3 linked regions of the Sus scrofa genome follow. The protein of the gene in region 3 interacts with the protein of the main gene of each other region in a biochemical or structural test. Links are inferred from orthologs where the notes say so. Each region holds a gene or a part of one and is shown on either strand. Other genes may lie near its edges. The genes, in order: UBE2G2, UBE2J2 and MARCH6.

What was found.
Region 1: the proteins of MARCH6 (region 3) and UBE2G2 form a complex in vitro, tested with the Homo sapiens proteins (2 studies listed by BioGRID). The link is inferred for Sus scrofa from reciprocal best matches to the Homo sapiens genes MARCHF6 and UBE2G2.
Region 2: the proteins of MARCH6 (region 3) and UBE2J2 form a complex in vitro, tested with the Homo sapiens proteins (2 studies listed by BioGRID, with this or other methods). The link is inferred for Sus scrofa from reciprocal best matches to the Homo sapiens genes MARCHF6 and UBE2J2.

What each region holds. Positions count from the first base shown.
Region 1 is NC_010455.5:207,469,006-207,473,004, forward strand, and holds the start of UBE2G2 (ubiquitin-conjugating enzyme E2 G2), read right to left. Parts: upstream 2,822-3,999; 5' UTR 2,725-2,821; coding exon 2,682-2,724; intron 1-2,681. UniProt on the Homo sapiens protein: Accepts ubiquitin from the E1 complex and catalyzes its covalent attachment to other proteins. In vitro catalyzes 'Lys-48'-linked polyubiquitination. Involved in endoplasmic reticulum-associated degradation (ERAD).
Region 2 is NC_010448.4:63,561,554-63,565,102, forward strand, and holds part of UBE2J2 (ubiquitin-conjugating enzyme E2 J2), read right to left. Parts: intron 2,588-3,549; coding exon 2,457-2,587; intron 1-2,456. UniProt on the Homo sapiens protein: Catalyzes the covalent attachment of ubiquitin to other proteins. Seems to function in the selective degradation of misfolded membrane proteins from the endoplasmic reticulum (ERAD).
Region 3 is NC_010458.4:72,125,057-72,129,330, reverse strand, and holds the start of MARCH6 (E3 ubiquitin-protein ligase MARCH6), read left to right. Parts: upstream 1-1,461; 5' UTR 1,462-1,698; coding exon 1,699-1,717; intron 1,718-4,274. UniProt on the Homo sapiens protein: Endoplasmic reticulum membrane-associated E3 ubiquitin ligase that plays a critical role in mitigating endoplasmic reticulum stress, the regulation of cholesterol and lipid homeostasis, and ferroptosis.

The sequences.
Region 1 (3,999 bases), on a different chromosome or scaffold from region 3:
AAAAAAAAAAAAAAAAAAAGTAAGATGAAAAACAAACAAGAACGAAATGCTTGTAACGCACATAACCGACCAAAGACGAGGAAGTGAAAAGGAGCAGGGAACTGACAGAGAACTCCTACGCCCCAACAAGAGCAGACCACCCCGCAGAAATGGGCGCAAAGGCACGGACGGACCTTCCACCAAGGGAGAACCACGGACTGCCTCCAACCACGAGGGGACGGGCCCCTCGACTCTCTCGTCGGGCCCTCCGAATGACAGCGCACCGGCGGGGCACTGACCCTGCTGCGGCGGCGAGCAGCCCGAGGGAGCGCTGTGCGGGAACACCATGCGGGGACACGCGGGGAGCCACTTCCAGAGAGCTGACCCGGGGGCACCGGCGCTGCGTCACAGCCAGGTCCACGCTGGGCCCAGGCGCCAGAAATGCCCACGGCAACCGACGTGCAGCGTAAGCTACAGGCCCGGCAGTAACGTTCACAGAATGCGACGGCTCTGGGCAGTGAGAAGAGCCGTGTGCTCAGCGTGAAGGACTTGCGGGAACAGCGCTGAGCCGAGGTTCAATCTGCAGAGGCGGGTGCGGACCCCACTTCCACTCAGGGTAAAACAGGCAGAGAGCGTGCCTGCTGTGAGGAGGACGTGACGTGACAGGCCTCCAGAGAAAGGGAAGAGGATGCACAGCAGTCCCGCGGTGCCCCGGGGGCAGCACCCGCCCAGTGCTGCTCAGGTCCTGCTTCTTAAGCTGCTGTCACAGGAGCAGAGGGTCCCTTGACGACTGCGTGTCAACGTACACCTTTTGTTTCTGTCTTTTTAGGGCCGCACCTGCGCCTATGGAAGTTCCTAGGCTAGGGGTTGAATCAGAGCTATAGCTGCCAGCAGTTCCCGTCGTGGCTCAGTGGTTAACGAATCCGACTAGAAACCATGAGGTGGCGGGTTCGAGCCCTGGTCTCGCTCAGTGAGTTGAGGATCTGGCCTTGCTGTGAGCTGCAGTGTAGGTCGCAGGCGCGGCTCGGATTCTGTGTTGCTGAGGCTGTGGTGTAGGCTGGCGGCTACAGCTCCTATTAGACCTCCATATGCCACGGGTGCAGCCCTAAAAAGACAAAAAAAAAAAAAAAGAGTTACATTTGCCTGTTAGTGACAGGAAGGATGACAGAAACGGGAAGGACAGGCCAAGTCTGGGGGTTCAGAGAGGGCGAGGAAGTGGCAGCAACACCGTCCGTGGGGCTGGAGAAATGTGCCAGGGTGGAGGAGTTGGGGATCTCACAGAGGCAGACGGGCCAGAGCACAGAGCATCTGCGGGGTCCCTGCAAGGGCTTCCGGGCAGAGTGACACGATGCGACCGTGTGGCGCAGAGAAGCAGTGGGCGCAGGAGCAGAGGCATCTGCGCTGCAGTTCCCCGGGCCGGAGGCTGGCTTGGACTCAAATCAACAGATTACGTGTGGCACAAGCACGTCTCCCAGTCAAACACCAGGCGGGAAGAGGAAGGCCGTGGGTGCCGCCACCCAGAGGGAAAGACGGTGGGGCGACAGTGGGGCAGGAGCCCCAACTTCAGAGGAGGCCAGATGGTGAGCGTCACTCACACGTTTATTTTGGAGGGCCCGCCTCTGCAACACTGCGGTCTGCTCAGGCCAAACACCAATGCTCCCTGCACAGCGCCTCTGGGAAGGCTTAGGAAACCGAGACACCTGCACAGTACTGTTAGCTTTGCTGCACCCATTGTCGACGCTCATTTTCCAGTTTCTCCCGAAAGTGTCCTCGGTGTAACGGTAACAGCCACAGCTAAGACCAGGGACAGCCACCCAGCAGGTACCTGGGAAGCACTCCTCTGCACGGGTGAGGGCAAGGGCGGAGGCCAAGGTCAGAGAATTAATAAGCAGAGGCAGGTCTGAGCCGCCGGCGGGCTCCCGCCCTGTGTGAGGCCAAGCAGAACACTTTCAAACCCGAGCGCAGCCAGGGCTGGCCTCTCCCCGCGACTCCTCCCGGGAGCCTCTGCTGCAGAAGGGGGTCTGCGCAAGGCTGCCGGTTCTCGCTTCTCCCGCTGCGCTCCCCAACGGTGAGGAAAGGTGCTGCCTAAGGAGGCACGAGGGTTTTCCCAACACTACCCAGGAAGGATGGCAGGTGGCCTTGCTCAAAAACGGCTCCCTTTGTGACGGAAAACTCAAATCTGACTTTTCACCTCAAACTCATCACACTGCGCTTTTCTCTTAACGTTTCTTTGCTAACTTCTCGATAGGCCACTTGGGCGTCCCCTCTCCGGCCACCGCACGTTCACGAGGCCGGAAAGAGAGAGTCACTCAAAGAGCCAGAGACGGAAACGAACGAGCCCGGACTGGGCGCAACCATCCGGGCTTCCCGTCCAGCGCGGCGCCGCGCCGGCCGATCCTGCAGGTCCGAGGTTCGCAGGGGCCGCCGGTGCCCGGACAAAACCCGCCCCGACGGCGCACAGACGAGCCCGTCCCGGGGGTGGGCGGAGCGCGCGCTACACCACGGCCGCGGGGCCGCCGCGAGCAGCAGGGAAGGGGGGGCGCCGGGACCCGGGGGAGCGGGGCGCGGGGGTCGAGGGGGGCGTGGGCCGCCGCGAGCAGCTGAGGGCGGTGTGCAGGGACCCGGGAAGGAAGGGGGCGCCGGGCCGGGCGGCGGAGGAGAGGGCCGTCCCGGGAGACCGGGCGCGCGGGCCCCGAACTCACGTTTGTACTCGGCCATCAGCCTCTTGAGGGCCGTCCCCGCCATCGTCAGGGTAACAGCTGTGCCGTCGGCCTCTCCTCCTCAGCGCTCGTCCCTCCCACCCAGCGCCGGGACCGCTTCCGGGGCACCGGAGCCCTTCCGGGGCGCGGGGCGCGTGCGCGGCGGGAAGGGCGGGGCGCGCGCGCGGCGGGGAGGCGCGGGGCGCGTGCGCGGCGGGGAGGCGCGGGGCGGGCGCGGACTCCGGGGCCCGCCCTCGACCGCAGCCCGAATCCTGGCTCTGAGTACCTGGAGGGGAGGCTCCACAAGGTTTCGGCGCAGCGGCGCCCGGCCGAGTGTGCGAACTGCCTGCTCCGTCCTCGTGGCCTCAGGGCGGTCCCGACGGCGGGGAGGGGGCAGGAGGGTGGAGGGCAGAGGGTGGGGGACGGCGCGGGCGGGCGGCGGCCGGCCCGCTGGAAGAGTGGGGTTCACATGGCTTACTTGCTGAAAGTACCAGGAGAAGGGGAAGAAAGAAGATACCGCCAGTCCGGTGGGCTACAATGCACACGCTGGCACATGGACCGTATCGGGGCTCGCTCGCTGCCCCACCCCTGTGTCATTCAGAGGAGGTGACTTTGAGGCCCAAATGCAGTTAAAACGAGAAGGTCCATGGAAGACCTTTGGTGCCCCTGTGGCTACCCTCACGGTTTTAGGTTTTAAGTGAGAAGATTGGCGATTGGGGTGGCCTTATTCCGTGTCGGTGTTTCTGGATTCAGCTTGGCCAAGAGAGGAGCTTTGGGAGACAGGAGGGAGCAAAGCAGCAGCCCGACAGCCCCGACCTCCACCACAACAGCCGGCTGACCAGCAGGACCGGGGGCAGCGCGTCCAGACTTGCCCACGGCCCCGTTGACAGTCCCCGGACCACTGCTTCAGGAGGCCGACAAGGGTGGTCGTCCCCCTCCAGCTGCCCCTCACCCGGCCCCAGGCTCCCTGAGGCTCCGGCTTCCCCAGCTGGGTAATGTGCATCCAGGTGACTACACTAGGGTGTCCTTTTCTCGTAGTGTTCGCGGAGGTTCTACTGGTCGCCCCACTGTCTCTGGGCAATCTGTCGATGCTTCTTAGAATCCCCCTTACTTTAGAAAAAGTCGGCACTCTTAGTGCTTGGTAGCTTTGCCATGCAAGGATATGTAAACCTTTTTAAAAAGTGAAGTCTTGGAGTTCCCATTGTGGCGCAGCGCCAACGAATCCCACTAGGAACCATAAGGTTGTAGGTTCGATCCCTGGCCTTGCTCAGTGGGCTAAAGGTCCGGCATTGCCGTGAGCTGTGGCGTAGGTCGCAGACAC
Region 2 (3,549 bases), on a different chromosome or scaffold from region 3:
TGATGTGATTTTTTTATTTTTTATTTTTAGGGCCACACCCGCTGCATATCGAGGTTCCCAGGCTGGGGGTCGAATCAGAGCTGCAGCTGCCCGCCTACACCACAGCCACAGCAACACAGGATCCTTACCCCCTGAGGGAGGCCAGGGATCAAACTTGCGTCCTCATGGTTACCAGTCAGGTTCACTGCCGGTGAGCCAAGATGGCACCTCCCAAGGCCAGGATTTTAGGGCCCAACCAAAACCAGACATTCATTAGGCAAACTGAGGGATAAACCCTACCAGCAAGGCAGCACCAAAGCTCTGCAGTCTCTCGTGCTGCTGGTGCGCTAACAGCTGCTCTGAAACAGGATCAGAGGCTGTGTCTCCCAAGTTCCCCACAAAGTACTTTCCTATCCGCAAACAACACGCCAAAAGCTAATCCTCTAAAACCATCCATGTCAACTGAAAATTTAACACTTTTTAACTCCACAATTCATTCTTGAGATAAATTTCAAAGCTGGCACCTGTGAGAGTTCCCTCCATGGCTCAGCGGTTAAAGAACCCGACTAGTATCCAGGAGGATGCAGGTTCGATTCCTGGCCTCGCTCTGTGGTTGAAGGATCCGGCGTTGCTGTGGCTGTGATGTAGGCTGGCGGCTACAGCTCCGATTCAACCCCTAGCCTGGGAACCTCCATATGCTGCAGGTGCGGCCCTAAAAAGAGAAAAGAAAAAAAAAAAAAAAAAAAAAAAAATTGGTATTTTTCAGTGCGTCCAAATGTCACAGTAGCTAAACCCGGAACAGCTGGAGCCTGGGGAAGAGCCAGCAGGAGGGACAAGGGCAGCTTGGGACTGTTGCCAAAGTCCTCACGCAGAGGGAGCCTCGGACCTGGAGCAGCCATCCAGGGACTCTGTTCCTCTGCACAAAGGCAGGCAGCTGCGGCTCTACGTTAACAAGCGTTTAGCTCACAGGTTTTCAAAAAAAACAGAAAAGCACAAAGGAGACGGTAGACCCAACAGAAACACCAGACTAGATACCACTGCACACACGCTGGTACCCACCCCTCCAGACGCCGCCTCCCACCGGGTACTCTGACAACCTGCTGGCTGACCTGCGGGCTCACACCCCCGACTCAAAAAAGGCCGCCATCCTGGAAGGCAGATCAGGAACGCAGGGCCTCCAGTGGCTCCTGCTCCCGACTCCTGTACTCGATCTGAGGCCACGGGGAAGGGCCCAGGTGGCAGCATAAAGAGCACCTGGAGGACGGGCCTCTTCCAGAAAAGGCTCTCTTCTCCCAGCTGAGGAAACAGACCCTGCTGGGAGCAGAAGAGCCCACACAGCAGGCCCAACACTGCTGTCCTGGGCCGGCAGCTGAGAACTGGACTGGGGTGGGGTGGGGGGGCATCTCCCCAGCCCAACTGCACCTAAACTGCGTCTGCAAACAACGTGCTTCAGGCTGAAAAGCAGTCCGCTTTCCTGCCGGAAGTCTGCAACTGCAGGCCCTGGTGCTGGGTCCAGGAGGGCGTCCTCGGCGGACCGCACGGCCTGTGTGGTGGCAGCTTGCTGCATGGGAGGGAAGCCTGGGCCAGTCTTTAGGACTCTGCCTGCACCTCTTCCCGGCGCCGCCTCCTGTCTCTTCGCTATGCTCGTTACAGAACCTCCGCAGTGGGTCCTCCTGGCCAGTGACCTGGGACCTGAGTCAAGGCAGGAGAGGGTCCCCTCGACTGACAGAGGGGGACCCTTGGCTGCCATAGAGCCTGTCCCTCTATCTACCAACTGTGCCCCAGGGGCCACACTCGGCTTCTGCTGGGGGGGGGGGCTCTGCTGCATCTGCTGCAGCACTGATGCCTCTCCAACAACCTCGAGCCGCATCGGCCCCTCCGGAAGCTGAGGAAGGCAGACCCAGAATCCCCGACCCCCTGTCCAGCCTGGTGTTGAGGCCTAGATTTTACTCAGCTGCATCTCTCTTCTCCGGATCTCAAAGGACTTATTAAGATGAAAACATAAAACACCCTCCAACCCAAGAGAACGTGCTCCCACTCAGCTCAGCTCTCCGTCCTGCTTCTCACAAGATCACCAGCAAAGCCCGACAGGGCAGCTGTACCATGGCCCAAGAGCTGCTCCGAACCGCATGGTCACAAGGCGGAGATGGGCCCGGAGACAGGAGCTGCGGGAGCAGGACCCTCTGCTGTGAGCTCGCTAAGGCAGGACAGCCCACCGCACGGTCCCGAGAAGCAAAGAGCAGAGGAGCGGCCAGCAGCTTCTCCAGCTGGGAGATCTGCAGGCCCCCAAGCCTCCCCAGGCAAGGACCCTCTCCAGCCCAGCGGGCAGGGGCAGGGGCAGCCCTGCCACGCCCCCGGCAGCTGCCCACGGTGCAGATGACCCGAGTGTCCACGGGCCTCACAGCCCACTCCCACCCGACGAGGGTGCCGAGCCCCTTGCCCGCACCCAGGGGCGGCGAGAGGGACACGGAACTCACCACTCCAGAATGTTGGAGGGTAGGGGCTCAGCACAGATGTAAGGCACGGGGTCTTTCTTAATTCGGAGATAGTCTTGCTTCAGTCGCTGGGTGGCGGTTGTCGGCGCTCTCTTACCACTGCTGCTGCTCATCTGCAGAAAACCAACCCCCGTGCTGACCAGGGATGGAGGCGGCCGGGCTGCTCTCCACCCCGCAGCTCAGCACCCCCACCCCTGCTGGCACCTCTGCACCCACGGCCCTGCCACGACCTTCGCTGACACAACGCAGTCAGACCCGGAGGTTAGGAAACACCCAACAGCCTCACTCCCATCTTCAAGGAACCGACACAGGGAGAAAGACACCCATTTCTAAGGGTCCCGGGCAGAGGTGTGAAGCCAGCCCGGACCGCCAGTCACAGGCACGTTTCTCCAGCACTGCGCTGGAAGGTGCCCGCCAGGGGGCCGCTGACACCACAGAAACCAGCCCCCAAAAGGCCCTGGTTAAACATCTTCCAGCACGCTTAGCACTGGCCACAGGTGGGCGGGGGACAGAGAAAGAGCCTCTCTCTGAGCCTGGAGAGGGGAGATCCTGGAGAGACGGGGACACCGCGCTAGGCAGAGGGGGAAGGAGCGCCTTCCAGGGAGAGGGAGCGACAGGTGCACAAGCAGAGGCCAAGGCAGGGCACTGTGTCCAGGGACCAGCCCTGGGTCACTGCGTCAGAAGCCAAAGCATGGTGAACAGTGGCTGACAAGCCTGGCCAGGGACACGAGGCCAGGCCAGGCCATCAAGCAGTGCCCCAGAAAGACTACAGGCCTGGTCTTCCAGCCAGTCAGATCTTCTGTCAGGAAGGTCCCTCTGGTGGCCCAACACATGGCAGATGGGATGGCATGGGAGGGACAGGATGAGACAGGAGAGCACTGAAGGTTGGGGACAGGGAGCGAGGGAGCAGCCGTCAGTCACGAGAAGGGACGAGCCTGCATGGGGAACCCTGGGACATCCCAGCTATGCTCCAGGGGCGGGGGGGGGCATGGAAGACAGGGCTCCCCTCTCTCAAAGGCCCCAGAACAGCTCCAACCCAATCTGTGTAACATACCAGAACCGCTCATAACATGAA
Region 3 (4,274 bases):
CAAGGTCAACCCTTGAAATCAGTGGTTCTCCATTATTGTGTCAAGAACTTGAATTCCTTCCTGTCTTGGGTACCATGAGTGACATTGGTCAAATCAGTGACATTAGTCTTCAAGGGCTGCTCTCTTTCTGAAGGATTCTACTTCATTATTTTCATTCTCAGTTTCATTCTGATTGAGGAAGTTCAGAGGTGGGAGATTTTCCCAATTCCTTTCCTCACACGGATAGAAAAGAGATGGCTAGCATTCTTGCATCTATTTCTGCAATTTATCTGCATATTGTTTAAAATATATTTTCTTGGGATTAGAGACATCTTTAGTTCTACTTAGGTAATTCTAAGGTGGTGGCCTTTCTCATCAGTAATTTCTAAATAGTTCTAAATAATTTCTAAATAATTCTAAATAATTCTAAATAATTTCTAAATAATTCTTTGGTGAGGAAAAGTGGTGTACTGAAAGAACGTGCTCAGTCTTTCATAAGGCTGAAGCAATTTAGCCCTGGCCAGGTTAAGTGTCCATAACCCAGTATACCAAGTTCTGTCCCTATCTGAACAGATTTCCCCTAGAGAAGGGTGTTTGTTTCAACCTCCAACCTAAGCAGTTTATTGTAGTTCTTCCAGTCAAATGCAGAACTATGGTAATGATAGGGCCTGACTTTTTCATTTTACTTCCTTTTTGTCTTTTGTCTTTTTAGGGCTGCAGCCGTGGCATACGGAGATTCCCAGACTAGGGGTCCAATGGAAACTCTAGCTGCCGGCCTACGCCACAGCCAAAGGAAATCAGAGCCTCGACTGCAACCTACACCACAGCTCAAGGCAAAGCCAGATCTTAACCCACTCAGCCAGGCCAGGGATCGAATCCCCAACGTCATGGTTACTAGTTGGGTTCATTAACCACTGAGTGACGTCGGGAACTCTGACTTTTTAATTTTATTGGCATTCTAGTACTTCCTCAAAACATGCATCAGAACTGCCCGCGTGCAGAACAAAAATGCATATTCCTGGGCCAGCTCCAGACACGCGGCACCGGAATCTCCGGGCGCGATAGCGCAGAACTCGTATTTCACAAGTCCCAGGTAACAGTTCTTCAGCCCTGGGACCCGTCTTTGTCCTGCACCGCCGCCCGGCCTGCGCTGGGCTAGCCGCCTCGCTGTCAGGCGCTGGCTCACGCTGCTCACTTCCATCGTGTTGTGTCTTCTTTGTTGCTTCCCTCAGTGTTATTAGAGTTCAACTCCTACTAAGGTTTCAGCCTCGCTGCCCCGCGCAACCCTCAGGACAAGGTCCAGGAGGCCCAATGCCCACGACGGCGGCCACCAGCTGCTCGGGCCGGGCCGGGATGGCCCCCCACGGGTACCGCGCACTGAGCGTGCGCGCCTCCGCCGCGGCCGGAAATGACGGCACCTGTCGTTGGGGGCGCTCCGCCCCTTCCGCCTCCATGCCCCGCCCAGGCCTCGCCCCTCTGCTCTCCCCGACCCTCCCCCTCCCCTCTGTCGCCCGCTTTCTGTCAGCCTCTCTCCCTCTCCCTCTTCCCCTCTCTCCTTCCTCTAGCTTCCTCTCTCGCACCTGAGCACAAACACCTGCCCGGGCCCGGCTCCGCTCCCTCCTCCCTCCTCCCCCTCCCTTTTTCCCCGCCCCGGCCGGAAGGCTCCGGCCTCGGCCACAGGAGCTTCGCGGCTGCGTCACCGCCGCCCCCTCAGACAAGATGGACACCGCCGAGGAAGGTAAGTCGGCGGCGCCCGCGCCCTTTCTCCCGCGCCCGGGTTCGGGCTGGGCCCGCGCCCAGTCTGCGGCGCTCCAGGCGGGCCGCGGGGCCCGGGCGGCGCTGGGGGCACCTCGGCTCGGGGCGGAGGCGCGCGGTGACAGCGGGGGACCGGCGCCCGGGCCGTTTGCCCGCCGAGCAGCCCGGCGCGAGGGGCGGCGGGGACAGAAGGTGACCCCTCGGCGCCCCCCGCCGTTTCCCGCCCGCGCGCGTGGAGGGCAGGGCCCCTGCCCGGGCCGGGGGGCGTCGGGGCTGCGGTGGCCGCGGCCGGTGAGACTCCCCACCCCTCCGTCCCGCCAGCCCCGGGGGACGACGCTGTCGTCGCCGCTCAGAGTCTGGGGGCGTTTTCCACACCCTTCCCCCACTCGGTTTTGTCTTTCTTTATATCGTTTTGCCCGTAGCTCTGCGGGCCCGACCCTTTCACGGCAGAACTTCTTTGTTGACTCAAACTTAGCGAAAAATACCCCGCCAGGTGACGGCTGAGTGGAATCAACTGACCCCTATTTAAAAACCTTATCCTCTGCTTGCGAGTCCCGAATTATTTGTTTACTAAACGGGGACGAGGCAGGCCCAACGGGGTTATTCGCAGAAGGGGTGCTCTGTAGAATTCCTTTGTTTCAGTGTGATTTATTTTGTGCTTAATCCCTGACACCAATAAGCCGAGTTTTGTGCGTGTGTTGCTTGGTTGAGTGTGTGTGTGTTTTGGATGTGGCTGTTTTGGATCAAGCTGACTCTTGTAAACTGAATACATACGTGGATACATAACTGAACAGTTGTGACTATTGAAATGCATTTGCTTATCCGCTGACGGTAATTAGGTTGTTTTTTAAGCAGTTTTATCTTTTTAGAGTCTATCGAATAATTTTACTGAGTCCATAGAGGAAATTACTCTCCTGATGCTTGATGTGTAGGATGTCAGTGAAGATAAGATACCTTTCTGCTTCGGGTATATTATGTAGCTGTCTGATAAGCACCTTTCAACCGTATGGATTTTGGTGATTTTAAATGAGGATCTTTGAGGACTGTTGTGGCGTGCAATAATGAGTGACAGGAAGTTTGATACTGTATGTGTAATGAGTGGAGACAATTTATTATTTTTTAAAGAAGTCTTAGTAAGAACTTCAAACTGTAGCCGCATGTTATACTTGAGTTTACAAAGCATATTTACATGCCTTCACATTTGATCTTAGTAAGAGCCCCGTGGAGTAGCGCGGGGGGTATTATAGATGCGGAAGTTCAGGCTGGCTGGCTTCTTTCTTTCTTCAACAGTGACAAGCCAGATCCTTAACCGCTGAGCTTCCTGGGAACTCCCAAGCTTAGTTATTTAAATAACTTGTCTAAGCTTCACATGCTAGTTAAGAGACAGATATGAACCTAGGCCTTCTCATTACAAATAGTTTTCATTATGTCTTAGTTTTTTTATTATATACAGTGAGTGAAGTAATAACCACCGGCGACTCCTTTGGAAAAAAACAGTCAAGTGACACTGCTGAGGAGGTTATTAGGAATTATCTTCTTTTGATAGATGATTCTTGTGTGTAAATTTCCGTCTCCATAGATTTCACATACTTCTGGATTCAGATTTTAATGACTCAATTTAGTAAGGCTTGTGTTTATTTACCACTTGATAATGTACTGGCATGTTTTCCTCCCATTCTTTAAGCCTGTGCACTTAGTGTTTGCATACTAAATGTGTGGTGTGATAGTGGTAATTCAGGAATTGTAGAATCTGAAAGTTTATGTGGAATCATGATGAAAGAAATATATTTTTTTTGTCTTTGACCACAGCATATGGAAGTTCACAGGCCAGGGGTCAAAGTGGTGCAACAGTAGCAACCTAAGCTGCTGCAGTGACAACACAGGGTCCTTAACCCGCTGAGCCACAGGGAACTCCTGAAAGAAATATTTTCTATGTGCTTCTAGTGCACTGTTTTTTTCCTTGTAAAGTTATAATAAGGGTGAGGTATAAATGATATTTACTGTCTTGAATGCTGTTCTTGAAATAACTAAAATTTACTGAGGACTTAATATAGGGCATGTACTTCACTAAATACTTCATAGACATCTCATTTAATTCTCGTAACACTTTTAGGTACACAGCATTCCCTTTTTTACAGATGGAAGAAAGTAAGGGTTAGTATGATTAAGTAACTTGCCCAAAGTCATGCAGGTAACATGTCAAAGGTGAGATTCAGACTCAGTTCTGTCAGACTCCGTGGTTAAATTAGATATTTGTAAGTGGATACCCAGTATCCGATGTTGAGATAATTATGTTTTTGTTGCTTCCTTTGTAAGAAGAATCATATATGTAATTTTTTTGTTTTGTTTTGTCTTTTTAGGGCCGCATCCACAGCATGTGGAGGTTCCCAGGCTAAGGGTCAAATCAGAGTTGTAGCTGCCGGCCTACACCACAGCCGCAACAATGCAGGATGCGACCTACACCACAGCCCATGGCAACACCGGATCCTTAACCCACATAGGGAGGCCAGGGATCAAACCTGTGTCCTCATGGATACTAG